Linked DNA regions of Oryza sativa Japonica Group. The protein of the gene in region 2 interacts with the protein of the main gene of each other region in a pairwise test. Links are inferred from orthologs where the notes say so. Each region holds a gene or a part of one and is shown on either strand. Other genes may lie near its edges. The genes, in order: flowering time control protein FY and cleavage and polyadenylation specificity factor subunit 2.

Region 1 (7,479 bases), on a different chromosome or scaffold from region 2:
TGAGTATATTATCTATTCAAAACAACCATGGCAAATAAGGGAGTGGCGGATATGACAATTTCCCATGCAACATTTCAGTCAGTAGTTTGATATCCATAATGCATGATTTGCAATGAAACAAATAAATTACAACTGCTGTTTGATTGAAAAATGAAAAATGTATCAAATCTTAAACTCCAGGAAGGGAACCTAAAATTCAAATTATGTAGTGAGAATCTAACCAGTCACATCCTTGTTGTGTCCACGGAAGGATTCAAGCTCTTTCATGGATCTAATATCATATAGCTGCATAAAACACATTAGCAATAGCAAGTTAGAAACTATCCAATATAGTGTGTTTTATTTAGTAGATATGAAACAAACGGAACTTATAATGTCTTATTAAGAAAACAGAAAATATTATATTGAATTCACTTAATTATGGAGAAAGCAGTAATTCTTCTCTAGACAATAGTTTCAACCACCAAATAAAACTTTGTTTCAATAATTGATTATTACTCCCTCTGTTTCACATTTAAGACGTTTTGGCCTCTCCATCTCTTGTCTAGATTCACTAGCTGTAAGAATTTGGACATGCATGAATCTATTTAAAACCCAAAACGTCTATAAAGTGAAACGGAGGAAGTAGTCATGCTGAATAGCTGTTTTTTTTTTTCTGATGATGCGTCCTAGGGACATTAAAATTTTGCATCAACATTGAGTATGAACCCCCCCATTCCCATGGTATACCTCACTAGCACAAGCATGTCAAATAGATGAGAAAACTAAGCAGTGTAAACAGAACACTTTGCAGAAAGAATGGATGAACAGAACAGGGTACACAAGCAAAAAATATTGACCTTAATAATCTGATCCTTGGAGGCAGTCAACACCCAGTTCCCATTCTGATTCCACTTTACACATTGTACAATGTTTTTATGACCATGGCTGCAGATATAGCTCATCAGGTCATCATGTGCTGATGTGTTGCTGACTTTCAACATTAGCAAAGTAATACGAACGATGAAACAATACATACAATGAACGTAGCTCTCTACCACTTTTTGCATCCCAAAGTTTCACGAGATAGTCTTTACCACCTAAATAACAAAAAATAGAATTAGCTCTACACAAATAAGCTCATTAAACTAGCAAGCATAATAACTGACCTGAAACCAGTAAAGATTTTGTAGGGTGCCAATCGACACTCTTAACATCCCAACCATGGCCTGGCTGAGTATGAAGGCAAATTCAGGTTACTTGATGGGTAAAAATAATATAAGATATCATGCAATAACTTCATGCATGCGAGGATCAAGTAGTTCGGGCTCATAGAAAAGTACAACAACATTACCAGTTAAGGATCTTTCTTCCTGGCATCTTGCAAAGTCCCAAACCTTCACAGTAGTGTCATCAGAACAGGAGCAAAACTTCAGGTCTGTTCTACAAAAGCTGTTTAAAAGATGCATTGTAACAGAGAATGAACATTAACTTGGTATAGGTAAAGTAAAGAAAAAAGCACATGGGGCTGCCATCACCTCAAGTCACGAACTGATTCTCTGTGAGCTGTTTTATTAACTTTAACATTGTTCATGTTACTTTGCCAATACCTACAAAGGAAGTCAAAACGTGCACTTGACATGTCAGTGAAAAGATCAACATGTTAACTTAAGGATCAGTATCCAACAGGGTGACAGACTGACAGTGATAAAAATTCAAAAGGCCAACATACTTGATTGCACCACCATCATCACCAGTGACCATCCAGTTCTCATTGTTACTCCAAATCATTGATCTTACAGCTTGGTCATGAGCCTATTATCAAATTCCTCCAAAAATCAGCAAACTCAATGACACATTACTAGAAAATCTGGAGCAAAATTATAGAATACCTGAAGGATCATTTCAAAATTAAAAGATTGGCCATTCCATAGGGTGAATTCACCACTCTGTGATCCCGTAATAAGCCGACGCCCTGTGGGAGTCCACTTTATCAACAAATAACGATACATTAGACACATAAATGACAAAAGGAGAAATCATATTTAGCCTAATAATATCAACGTGGTACACAATATACGAATTCAGTTAGATTACACCAATATAAAGATACTTGGAATGGAGTTATCAACCCTCTGCACTAGCTGGTGTAAAAAAATTGGAACATTTTTCAAACAGTGTGTGAGCCTATCAAGTGACATTTTAAAGTTGTACTGCCATCAATCCTTAATTCTACCATAAAAAATGTAGAAAACAAGTAAAAATATAATATACCATCAAATATATTTGATTTAAAATGGTAAGAGTAGCTGCCTACAGATAAATATAAAATTAGATTTCAGAAGAAAAGGAAGCTCAGCAATAAGGTGAATGGTGGTGAACACCTAGAAGTTAGATCGATTCTATAGTTTTCAGCATTCTGAAGGTATCGCTGTCCTTCAGTGACCATGCACTAGCCAAGGCTTAGTGGAGCTCTTTGAAAAATATAAAAATAGCAGTTGGGATACTAGGAAAGCATAGAGATGGATATCATAGAACTCACCAAGACCCGATTAATAGAGCATCGGTTCTTGTTTATTGATGAATGTACAAATTTTGCAGCAAAACTTGTTGAGGGATTATCGGGGTATGCAACAGACGGCAACATCTGAAAAAAAAAACCCACATTAATCAGGATATCCAGATACCAGACAATGTATTCAAAATACAGTAGATACAGACAATTTCATAATCATCCAAACTGAACAATTAATTCATCAAACTTAATCATCTTTTGTCCAAGATGACAGCACTACCCAGTAATCAATCCAAAACCCTTAACCAAAATAGCAGCACTCAGCTAATTAAAAGGAATGAGACATAAGTATGTTCTACGTAAAATATTGCCTGAAGACTGAAGAGTTAAAGATCTAATTTTGTCAGCTTAATCCATTGAGCACCCTCAGTTTTACGTTGTACCATGGAGGATTTATCTCACATATATATCATAAATAACATCCAGACAGATTTACATAGTTGTGGCAAAACTGAAAACTTATGCATTAATTAGCAAGCTAAATGGCCCAAAAACAACAACCAAAGACAGGATCTGATAGGCACTCTCCCTAGATAGCAACAGGAGTTTGATTAATCCACATACAACAATCCATTCATACAACAATATAGTTTTCTTTTTCTAAGACTATCATTTTTACTGCATAACATTTCCGTTTAACCAGAACCTTGACTCAAGAATATTCAAGATCTTCCCAATCATGAGATTGCAAAGGACATCAATATAATGTACATAGTGGTTTGTTGAAATCCAAATTACAAAAGAAATGTGAGCGTCAGAAGTATAAAAGTCTAAAAACAGAAAACAGTATGGCAACTATCTTTTAACATGTTGGTTACAAGCAAGGCAAATGGGTAAGGTAACATACGTCCAGAACAGCAGCTGGAGTCGGCTGCACAGTGGGCCTGTCCCTAGCATCCCGCTGCCACATGCGAGCCTGCATGTCATATACATAATGGTGATCAGTGCTAGCAGAAGAATAAGAAAAATACAGGGTGCTAGATCTTATTGCACAGAAAAATCAACTTATGAGCATTTCATATTCATGTGATGTTTGCAGCAGGCACAGTAAAAGGAGCATATAGTAAGCAAAGTTCAACTGTATAATAGGCTCCCACAAAATAGAACAAAACATATATCACTATAACTGCTTGAGAAATAAGTTTGTTATATTTATACTTGAACATAACGGACGACTGTGCTTGTGTAGTCCACTGTTCGCCGCTGGACAGGCTTCCGCATCCTTTTAGCACCGAAATTGTCCCCATAAGCTGAATTGAGCCAAAATTACGATAACATAAGAACGCGCACCAATACCGCTGCTGTGCCCCTAACCCTAGCCAGCGACGAAACTACCAAAAGAGCGGCACTGTTACCGTCGTACGGCGGCTGGTTCTGCTGCGGCGGGGGGTGCCCCTGGTGCGCGGCGTAGTCGCCGGGGATGTTGGTGGAGGACGCCGCCGAGAGCTGCCGCATCGGCGGCTGCGGCGGCGGGCCCCGGTAGAACTCCCCGCCGCCGCCGCCCCCGGCCTGAGGCGGCGGCGGGTGCTGCGGCGGAGGCGGCGGCGGCGGCGGCTGCTGCTGCTGCTGCATCATCTCCGCCGCCGCGAGCCCCGCCGACCTGAGCTAGGGTTTTGGATCCGTGCGGCGCGGGGGTTCGGGGTTCTTCCGCCGAGGAGACGCCGCGGGAGGGTGAGCTCCGTGAGGCGAGTGGTCGAGTGCTGTGCTGCCTCGCTTGCCTCGCGAGATGTATTTGGGCCATACAGGCCCACTCTGGCCTCATTTAGATGGGCCTTCAAGGCCGGCCCATCCACGTTGACGGCAAGGATTTTTAGCCCATGCGAGGCCTCTCGTGTATTTAGCTCCTGTTGCTTCCAAACCAAGGTGCCAATATTTAGCAGTCCTAAATGATACTGAGGCAAAAAGGAAGCATTTTGCAAAAGTAGAGTTTCGTCATGAAAATCGGGCTTGTAATTTTGATGCTCACAACTTAGCTAAGTTTGCTTCTACTTTACAGGAGGGGCGTTATCTTTGGTTCTCAAATCCTCCTTGTAATATGAATAGGAATGTAAATGTGGATGGTAATAAATAAATTATCCGCTCTTTCTAAAAAAAAAAAAAGCTCCTGTTGCTTCCTCCAAATAAAAGCAAACTCAAAGTAGTTTTTCTCTAAACAAATATGCGAATGGTCTAGTGCTTCTTTGGATGAAGGGTTTTTACTTTTTAGGGGAGAAATTTTGTATTTTTAGATTCCGTAGGAGATTCTACTATATTTCATGGGAATTTAAACATTCACCTAGTCTAGGCAAATCAAGCTATATAACTTCAAATTATCATAATCAATAGTGATAGTTTTATTAAGATTTATATCTGCCTAAAAAATCCATATCCGGCGAATTTTATGTCAGACACAACACGTTATATTTTCCCCCACGTCCTAAATATATGTGTTTTTGCACGTGTATTGATTTTTTGTGCTTTTATATTCCTATATATTCTATAAAAAAAGATCATTAGGCATAGATCCTCTAGACTCGTTCTGGTATTGTACATGTGGGTTTCTAGTTGAATTTGATAATTTTAGCACCGATGTCTAGTTGTTTACATAATCTAATATTATTGTATGAGTTTCTAAGTGCGTGCATATCCACGTACCATGTTGTAGTTATTGTTGAAAACGTAAAAATGAAGTTGTCGTCGACCTTCTCTTTAAGACTTTGTTTGATTCAGTTTAGGATTATTATATTCTAGATTATTATAAATAAGTCGAAACAAACAGATAACTTATTATGATAATTATTACAATCTATGAGCCAGATTACTATAATATGGTAATCCACTCTAAAGGTGCTTTCTTTAATTATTGGGTGGCTAATAGCTAATAACGATCCGGTGTTGAATAATCAAGAATTTCCCTATCTTTTTTACCAAAAGTATCCAACAGTCCAGTAGAAACAAACAACTAACAGATTATTCTATGTCGGTTTATTATAATCCAACTTATTGTAATATGGCTCAATAATCTATATTATAATAATCTTAAACCGAAACAAACAGAACCTAAATCACACTTCTCCCACAATGAAAAAAAACCACCCACTGTAAAACAGTGTCATTTTGAAAATCACTAGAAAAAAAGGGACAAATAAAACTGAACCATATAAAATATTCATCCTAATTCCTCTTAGTCATACTAAAGATATAATGTTTAAGTAGATAAAGTCTGCCATAAACGGTCTACATGTCATCAAGTGTACAAATTGCGTGTGTTTTTGTTTTTTTTAAAGCCCACTTGAATCTCATAAACGACGGTAGGCTTAAGATTTCTTAGACAATCTATCAAATTGCATAGGAATTGCCGTCGCATGCATGAAATTTTATATTTAAAGACATGCGTTTGAATTTTCAAGGTCCATTCTGTAGTTTCAGAAACATTTACTAGTTTCAGGAAATATTTTTGCTGCTACATGCAGTGAACAAGACAGCGAAGGCTCACCGGGAAAACGAACCGCCACCGCTCCCTATTATTAACCCCCACCCAACCACTCGCTCGCTCATACGCAGCTCAACATTAAACAAAAACGACGGATCAACCATTTCCTCCTCGACGGCAAATCGCCGGCCCCCCACGAAGACTTGTTCTTCCTCCCGCCGCGCATTTCTTTAATCACTCGATCTGAGCTGCATCCCAAATCCCCCCCGATTTAATTATTTGCGGGGGGTGATGGATCCCCACATTGTCGTCGCGTCCCCTCCCATCGCGGGGATGTGATGTCTATGAGGAGGATAATAAGATCATGGAGGGGCACAAACCAGTGCACCAATTCGTTGATAGCCCCAAGCCGCAGCGCAGCGCGAGGTAAGCACCCCCTCTCCCCCCCTCCCATTCTTCATGCCCCAATGCTGCGACTGACGATTGCGATTTGGTAATTTTTGTTCTTTTTGATTGATTTGGCTCGGTTCTTGCATTTCATACGGATTGAGCTAATTCGGTGTCTGATGTTATCCCCACCCCCTTTGCATGTGTGCAGGAGAATTTGTGGAATGGCATCGAGGATCGATGCGAATGACCACGGCAATCAGCAAGGAGGCAATCCCCAAGGTTTCTCCCTTTTGATGTCCCCTTTGAAATCTTGGCATGTGGAATTGGATGCTGCCTACATTCCAATTGAAATTATAGAGTTGCTATAGCTTCTTTTTTTTTCCTTTTATATAATCGTCAACATGAACATCCGTTAGGGAGGAACAAATAAATATTAATTGTAAAGTGTGAAGTCTACTTTAGCATTCAACTTCTTCTTGGCTGCTGTTATTAATTTCAAGCAGAATGAAATACTTCCTGCCACTCCATTAACACTTAGCAAGTTTCTAGACAGATGAAGCTAGTTGTTTCAAAAAGAAAGAGGGAGAAGAAGAAGCTAAATGTCCCCTTGTATTGTATAGAAATCCAGATGAAGTTGCTACTTATCCATTTGTTGTTTGTGATAATGACCGATGTTCATCCATGATTGGTGCCAGGTCCAGTTGGTACAGCAGAGAGATTAGAGCATCTTTTAAACCAACCAGCAAACAAAATTTGTGCTGACTGTGGTGCTCCAGATCCCAAATGGGTGTAAGTATCCATGAATCCCGTAAGTGCTTTTTTTAAGGAAACAAAATCTGCAGTGTATAGATGTAGCCTGTATGCAGATCATTTTTTAAGATTTTGAAAAGAAATTGTTCTAGCTCATATATGGTGTGTATTCCCTGCTTGACTTAACTGAATTCGAGCTGAACATTTTAAAAATGTAAAGGTCAATGCAATTTACATTGTAGTAACAATTGTTGCATGTGTGTCGTGAAAAAAAAAATTCTTGCATTACAATTATCTGACCACTTATTTAGTTGAAGCAAAATTAAGTATATCTTATTCACTGTTGAGATACCATTTCGTTTTGTCATGGTAT
Region 2 (5,861 bases):
CAGGATTCAGGAATGAACCATTATCAAGTGTACAATAATATACAAAAAGCATATATATTGAAATTGTCTCATCAACACACCTCTTGGGTCTACTACTCTCTAAAATAAGCTAACTAAAACTAAAAAGGGATCTCGGGAGAGCAACAAACAGCATATTCTGGCGCTCAGATCCAAATGGATTAACGGTTCCTCCGTGTACAACAACATCAACACGAAAGGAAAGAGATGCCATGGTCCGGTCCATTACATTTTACAACAAGTAGAACTGAGAGTAAAGAAGCTCACGAATCTTGTAATAGTCCTCACACAGGGGCCCTTCGATCACAATCTGCTGGGAACCTGTGCTGCCCTGCAACCCACACCATAATTTAGTCACGTCAGTACATTCACAAACAAAACCACTTGAAACCGACGCGACGACTGATCGCAATTCAACGGTTTTCAAGAGGGAAATGAGAAATCAGTATAGCATGCTGTCCTTGAACAGCCGCAGCGGATCAAAGCCTGGCAATAGCATGTTCACAGCGATATACTGGATGCTACTTCACCACTACTTACCTTTTGGCCAGCATCACCAATCTTGCGCAGTGTGATGTATTCACCACACCGTAAAGCACCACCAGCAAATTCAACCTGCAAGAAATCTCTTAGCCCTGAATTTCAATGGTTTCAGAATGTATCAACAGCTATAATTACTCATGCTTACAGCCTGGTTAACATCTGCTTCCAAGTTAGCCTATTACAGTTTTGTTAATCGATTTTGGTATTCCAGCTACTAGTAAGTTATGCAAACAATATTAAGTGTACTCCTAAGAGGAGCCATCTAACAACTGGTTCTGTATGGGAGCAGGAGTAACAGTTGTAACTGTCAGGACATGCTCTCTCTCTCTCTCTCTCTCTCTCTCTCTCCCTCCCTCCCTCCCTCCCTCCCTCTCTCTCTCTCTCTCTCTCTCTCTCTCTCTCAACACTGAAACGTGAAGGGCCAGTATATCCAAGAACTTAATATTATACAGTACTAACATATTTGAAAATGAAAACTTACCTGCAAACCTTTATTTGCCAGGAATTGCTTAAAATCAGCCAATTTCAAATCACCCACAAGAACTGACTTGTGGGCTGCTGGAGTTGACGACGGGGGCAACAAAGTAAGCTTGTCATCTGTTTTTCCAACCTCTGCATCTACCCATGCAATTTCATGCTCACCCAACTGCACAGAGTGCCAGTGTTAGTGCTTTCTTACTGCTAATCCATAACAACAAAGTGCAGTTTCAGGTTAGCCCCCAAAGGTTGTATACTTGTATGGGCAAAAAAAAAAATAATCACAGGCTTGTGGTATCAGGTTCACAGATAATTTTGTCATGAAAGGCTACTTATGCTGAAAAACATTCAACTGAGTAGGGCAACAGAATGGACCATCCAGTAAGCAGTATGGAATCAATCATTTCTCAAAACTGTATTGGAAGGACCTCGGTCATTCATATTCTTGTATGGGCAAAAAAAAAAAGAAATAATCACAGGCTTGTGGTATCTGGTTCACAGACAATTTTGTCATGAAAGGCTTCTTATGCTGAAAAACATTCGACTGACTAGGGCAACAGAATGGACCATCCAGTAACCAGTATGGAATCAATCATTTCTCAAAACTGCATTGGAAGGACCTCGGTCATTCATATACATATTGCATATGAAGTAACATTTTTGCAACAATAGAAGAAGTTCTGCCTTTTCTGGTTATAATCTTATTACTACTGAAACATGAATGGTCCTGGGAATCTGGCTCACTTTATAAGCAAAAAAATCAGTTTGATAGCTTAATTTGGTTCAAGTTTATATCATCTGATAGCGTCCACATCAAGGAGATTTATTAGCACCAGTTGAAGGATAAAATACATTAATAGTGAAGGAGGAAACCAATGCTCTTACCTTCTTAGAAATAACATTACTCATTAACTTCTCCGAAAGTTGTACCTGAAATTACAAAGATAGTGAATAAGTTTGTGTATGTATGGAAATATATGATACAGTGATAGTGCAGTAAAAATGATTGGTAAATGGCAACTATTCAGTTTTGCCTCATGTTGTTTAAGTCATCGGATAAGAATTGGACACCAGCATCAGGCAACGCCTGCCCGTCACACATAATAAGAGTTTGGCTGTTAACATAAACGTTATACAGACCTTGTAAGCACATAAATCTGATGTCACATCAATAGTTTCTTCTATCTGAGGAGCATAAACATGCAAGTCTGAGTTCTTCGAACAATGCATTTTTAAATGCTCAGTAGCTTCTGCTGATCCATGAACCAAAACCTGAAAATGTAACAGGAGCTTCAGTATGTGATGGCATGTTTACCCTCAAGAAATAAACGGAAATGTAAATAATTGTATTTGTAAATGGTTTCCATAGCTCAAGGGCATCAATAATAATCAGTAAATAGGTTTAGGGAATTTCAAACTAATTTCTTGTTGAAAAGGGACAAGCTATATACGTGAGAAAAATATATGTTCCAAGAAGGAGATAATCATGTGTCAAAAAGTATAAATTCTAAATCCTAAATCATGGATGCTAAAAGAAGGGTATTTCCAGCACTTACAAGTTTTAATGGGGCCACATGAGCAATAACAGATTTTACAGAGCGCCCATCAGACCGACCTTCAAAGTCCATATATGCTAATGAACACTTGACTTGCACCTAAAAATGTTGATCATAATTAAATAGAAGTAAAGATTTTTCTAGAAATAAATAAACAGACAGACAAAATGAAGTAAATGGGAAAAAAAACTTACAGTCATCTCGTTGGAAATAACTTTTGAGGGTGTAGAATCAAGGAGTAGGCGTGCTGAGCCCTCATCAAGCATACTATCCATACCATCCCCAGCACCCTGAAAACAATTCATGAAAACATTGACATTCAAGTTTATTTTGTTGGCATTTCAAGTTTTTTCAGGTTCCAAGAAAGAAAACCCTAAACATAGTTGGCTGATATGCTCCAGGCAAAATTAAACCATCTGGCCACAGGGTTCCGATTGTAAAAAAAAGAAAAAAAGTACATAAGCAAACTTACGGGCATCAAAGTATTATCCATTTCTTCTTGCTTCATCAGATAGTCTTCAGGGTTGATAACCTCACCGAAGTCATCCCATTCAGAAGTATTTTCAAAGAAAGGAAACATTGGAGCAACACTTGATGATGGAGGGACAAATCCATCAATGAGAATATCCACATTCCCGCCAAACTTTGAACCAGCTGATGGAACCACAGAGCCAAGAAGGGTTGTTAACCACATATAATATATTGCATCAGATCGTAAAGGTCTTACAAACGCAGCCTAGCTATACCGTTGGATGGTTTGCGAGATGTGCTGGCATCAATAACCATGGGATCAGAAGCCTTTGCGTTTGATCCAAGAGACGCCTTCTTTTCCTCCTCTTTGTTTAGACTGGCCTTTAGCGCTTCCTCCTTTTTTATCCGTTCTTGTTCTTCTTCGTAAGCTTTCAGCTCATCACCAACTAAAGGAATTCGCTTGCTCATAGTGACCTTTACAGCTTTTGGAGGTGGATCTACTTGGAGCATGCGAGCTAGTGTCCCAAACTGGAATGGGATACTTTGTAATTAGATAGCTGTAGAACATAGATATATGATGCTAGAATTCTTTTGCTGAGTGAGAACAACACAAATGTTTGATCAGTTTTTGCAAATACAGAAATCTATGGAACATGAAGGCAGAGAGGATATGGTTAACGTGACGTAAGTTTGGATTCATCATCAAGATTCATGTTGTTTACACAAATTTTAAAAGTTTCATGTAGGTTGTAGCAATCAATTTGCTAAGGCCCCTTCAAGGTGTTGGACTACTTGTCACTTACAGGTTTGAAGCTATAATGGTTTGTATGTAGCTAGTTATTGAATGTATGTGCTGAGAAAGAAATAAACCATCCAGATATATTGAGTACATGGATTTACCTGTCCCTTCTCAGTAAAAAGTACTAGATTCTTTGCTTCATTTGCCATATCAACAAATATGTCATGAGAAAAGCCAACCTCCAAGCTTGCCATGGATGCTAGAACCACCTGCTAAATGTTTGTTAAATTCACGTTTCCGACAGTATGGAGGAAATAAATGTTACTCTAACCTTTGGTGCATCTCCCAGCTTTTCAAGCTCATCTTTGTTTATTATCTGTGTAACACATCTGCAACACAGAAAAAACAAAAGTTGTAGAAACTAAACAAAACAATCATACAAATATCGTTCTTAAGAAAGTTATATATGAAGTTTATAAACAAATAATAGTATAGCGCTGATTCAGGAAAAGAGGCAGTTGAATTGGCTCTGATAATACAGTATTGTAATAACAGGACAGCCCAATGAGATAAAATATAAATATGACTCCATAAGGAGAAAGTAATAGAGGAAACATGTCTATTGGGCTGTTGAAATGTAAAATAATAAGCTCATCATGAATCTTCAGGCTTGCAATGCATAGCAATTGTCAATATGCACAGAATAAAACAAAACGATGAACTGAAAAAAAGGAAAGTAACAAGAATCATTCGTACTTTAATAGGAAGGCATTGTCTCTAGTGTGTTCAAAAGACTTTGAGATTGAATCATTCATCCATTCAAGAAAACTCTTGACATAATCAACAGTACTCGTAGAAACATTTGTCAGAAAGTAGATAGGGTAGATCAAATGCCGTTGAGCCCAGTACTGCAATAAATCAAGACAAAAGGTGAACATATTATTGACATAACAAAATAAAACAGTACGAGAACAAGACCTTCAAGATTTCACCTGCTCCAATATCAAAAGAATTTCAAGAACTCTACCAGCTGTATCAATCGGCAGTAACACACTACCACCACCAGTTAGAACTTTCACTAATGCATCTGCATGAAACAGGATGTCAATTAGACATCACAAGAGGATTCCCATACAGTAACTAAAACAAACCATATACACGATAACATATATTTGGAGTCTAAAATATTAATAGTTTATTATTGAACTCAACAATGTGTAGCACTAAAAAATAATTGAGAAATAAAAAAAGTTGTGTCCAAGTTGCAAATTTGGAAAATAGAAGATATATTCATCAGTGCTACTTTGATGGAGAAAACATAAGTAAAAAACAGCTTCCAACAAAATTATCATGAGCTGTTACCTGCAACCATGGCTGTGTGGGTATAGTAGTAATGCTAGAGCTGAAAGCATTTGAAAAAGAGATAGAGATAGAGAGCTATGATAATAACATGTCCAGTGTTGTACCAATGAAATCTTGATCCTGCTGCCTTTTGTAGACATGGTTGTTCAAGGCATTGTATGCATCAGTTATCAGAACAGCTGGCCGTACAAATGATCCAAGAGCAGTACCATTCAAATGCCTGGAAAAGCACATTGCTGTTATTATTTGCTAATAAAGAGAAAACTAAAATGACAAGTAAATGACAAAGGAAGGATTTAACCTCTCTTTACGATGGTTGAAGTCAACAGCATAAACAACATCCTCCCCATCTTTTGTTATCTTCCATACCGTGCCACCCAAATCATGCCCAGCAACATGTGGAGCAATAACTATTCCTTCACCTTTATCTGCCAATCAATAGTATGTAAGGGGATGTAATTTAGCAAAGGATATACATCAACAGCATGCTTACTGACCATTCAAAAGGTGGTTCTGTGAGTACTTCAATCTAACAACATTTTGGAATGCAGCATCAATATCGTCCAAAGTAAACAAGTCAAAATCTGAAACTTGCTGCAAAGGAAAATAAAGAATGGTTAGATCCACTATATGCAATGAAACAAACAAGAGGTTAAAATGGACACTAGAAAGCTTACCCGTCGTGATATAAAGTA

The links.
Region 1: the proteins of cleavage and polyadenylation specificity factor subunit 2 (region 2) and flowering time control protein FY interact in binary tests that used the Arabidopsis thaliana proteins (3 or more experiments, as listed by UniProt). The link is inferred for Oryza sativa Japonica Group from reciprocal best matches to the Arabidopsis thaliana genes CPSF100 and FY.

Annotation. Positions count from the first base shown.
Region 1 is NC_089035.1:42,528,435-42,535,913, forward strand, and holds the start of flowering time control protein FY, read right to left. Parts: upstream 4,254-7,479; 5' UTR 4,130-4,253; coding exon 3,910-4,129; intron 3,805-3,909; coding exon 3,713-3,804; intron 3,471-3,712; coding exon 3,402-3,470; intron 2,627-3,401; coding exon 2,522-2,626; intron 1,968-2,521; coding exon 1,872-1,967; intron 1,795-1,871; coding exon 1,712-1,794; intron 1,590-1,711; coding exon 1,518-1,589; intron 1,432-1,517; coding exon 1,334-1,431; intron 1,209-1,333; coding exon 1,149-1,208; intron 1,080-1,148; coding exon 1,019-1,079; intron 928-1,018; coding exon 840-927; intron 286-839; coding exon 222-285; intron 1-221. Other genes in the region: probable ADP-ribosylation factor GTPase-activating protein AGD11, read left to right, coding at 6,331-6,392, 6,565-6,635, 7,052-7,145.
Region 2 is NC_089043.1:27,165,522-27,171,382, forward strand, and holds the end of cleavage and polyadenylation specificity factor subunit 2, read right to left. Parts: coding exon 5,844-5,861; intron 5,761-5,843; coding exon 5,664-5,760; intron 5,595-5,663; coding exon 5,468-5,594; intron 5,387-5,467; coding exon 5,271-5,386; intron 4,892-5,270; coding exon 4,797-4,891; intron 4,713-4,796; coding exon 4,561-4,712; intron 4,194-4,560; coding exon 4,136-4,193; intron 4,074-4,135; coding exon 3,966-4,073; intron 3,594-3,965; coding exon 3,341-3,593; intron 3,249-3,340; coding exon 3,067-3,248; intron 2,885-3,066; coding exon 2,789-2,884; intron 2,694-2,788; coding exon 2,595-2,693; intron 2,311-2,594; coding exon 2,179-2,310; intron 1,969-2,178; coding exon 1,924-1,968; intron 1,208-1,923; coding exon 1,043-1,207; intron 634-1,042; coding exon 559-633; intron 350-558; coding exon 251-349; 3' UTR 8-250; downstream 1-7. UniProt on the Arabidopsis thaliana protein: CPSF plays a key role in pre-mRNA 3'-end formation, recognizing the AAUAAA signal sequence and interacting with poly(A)polymerase and other factors to bring about cleavage and poly(A) addition. Required for antisense-RNA-mediated gene silencing.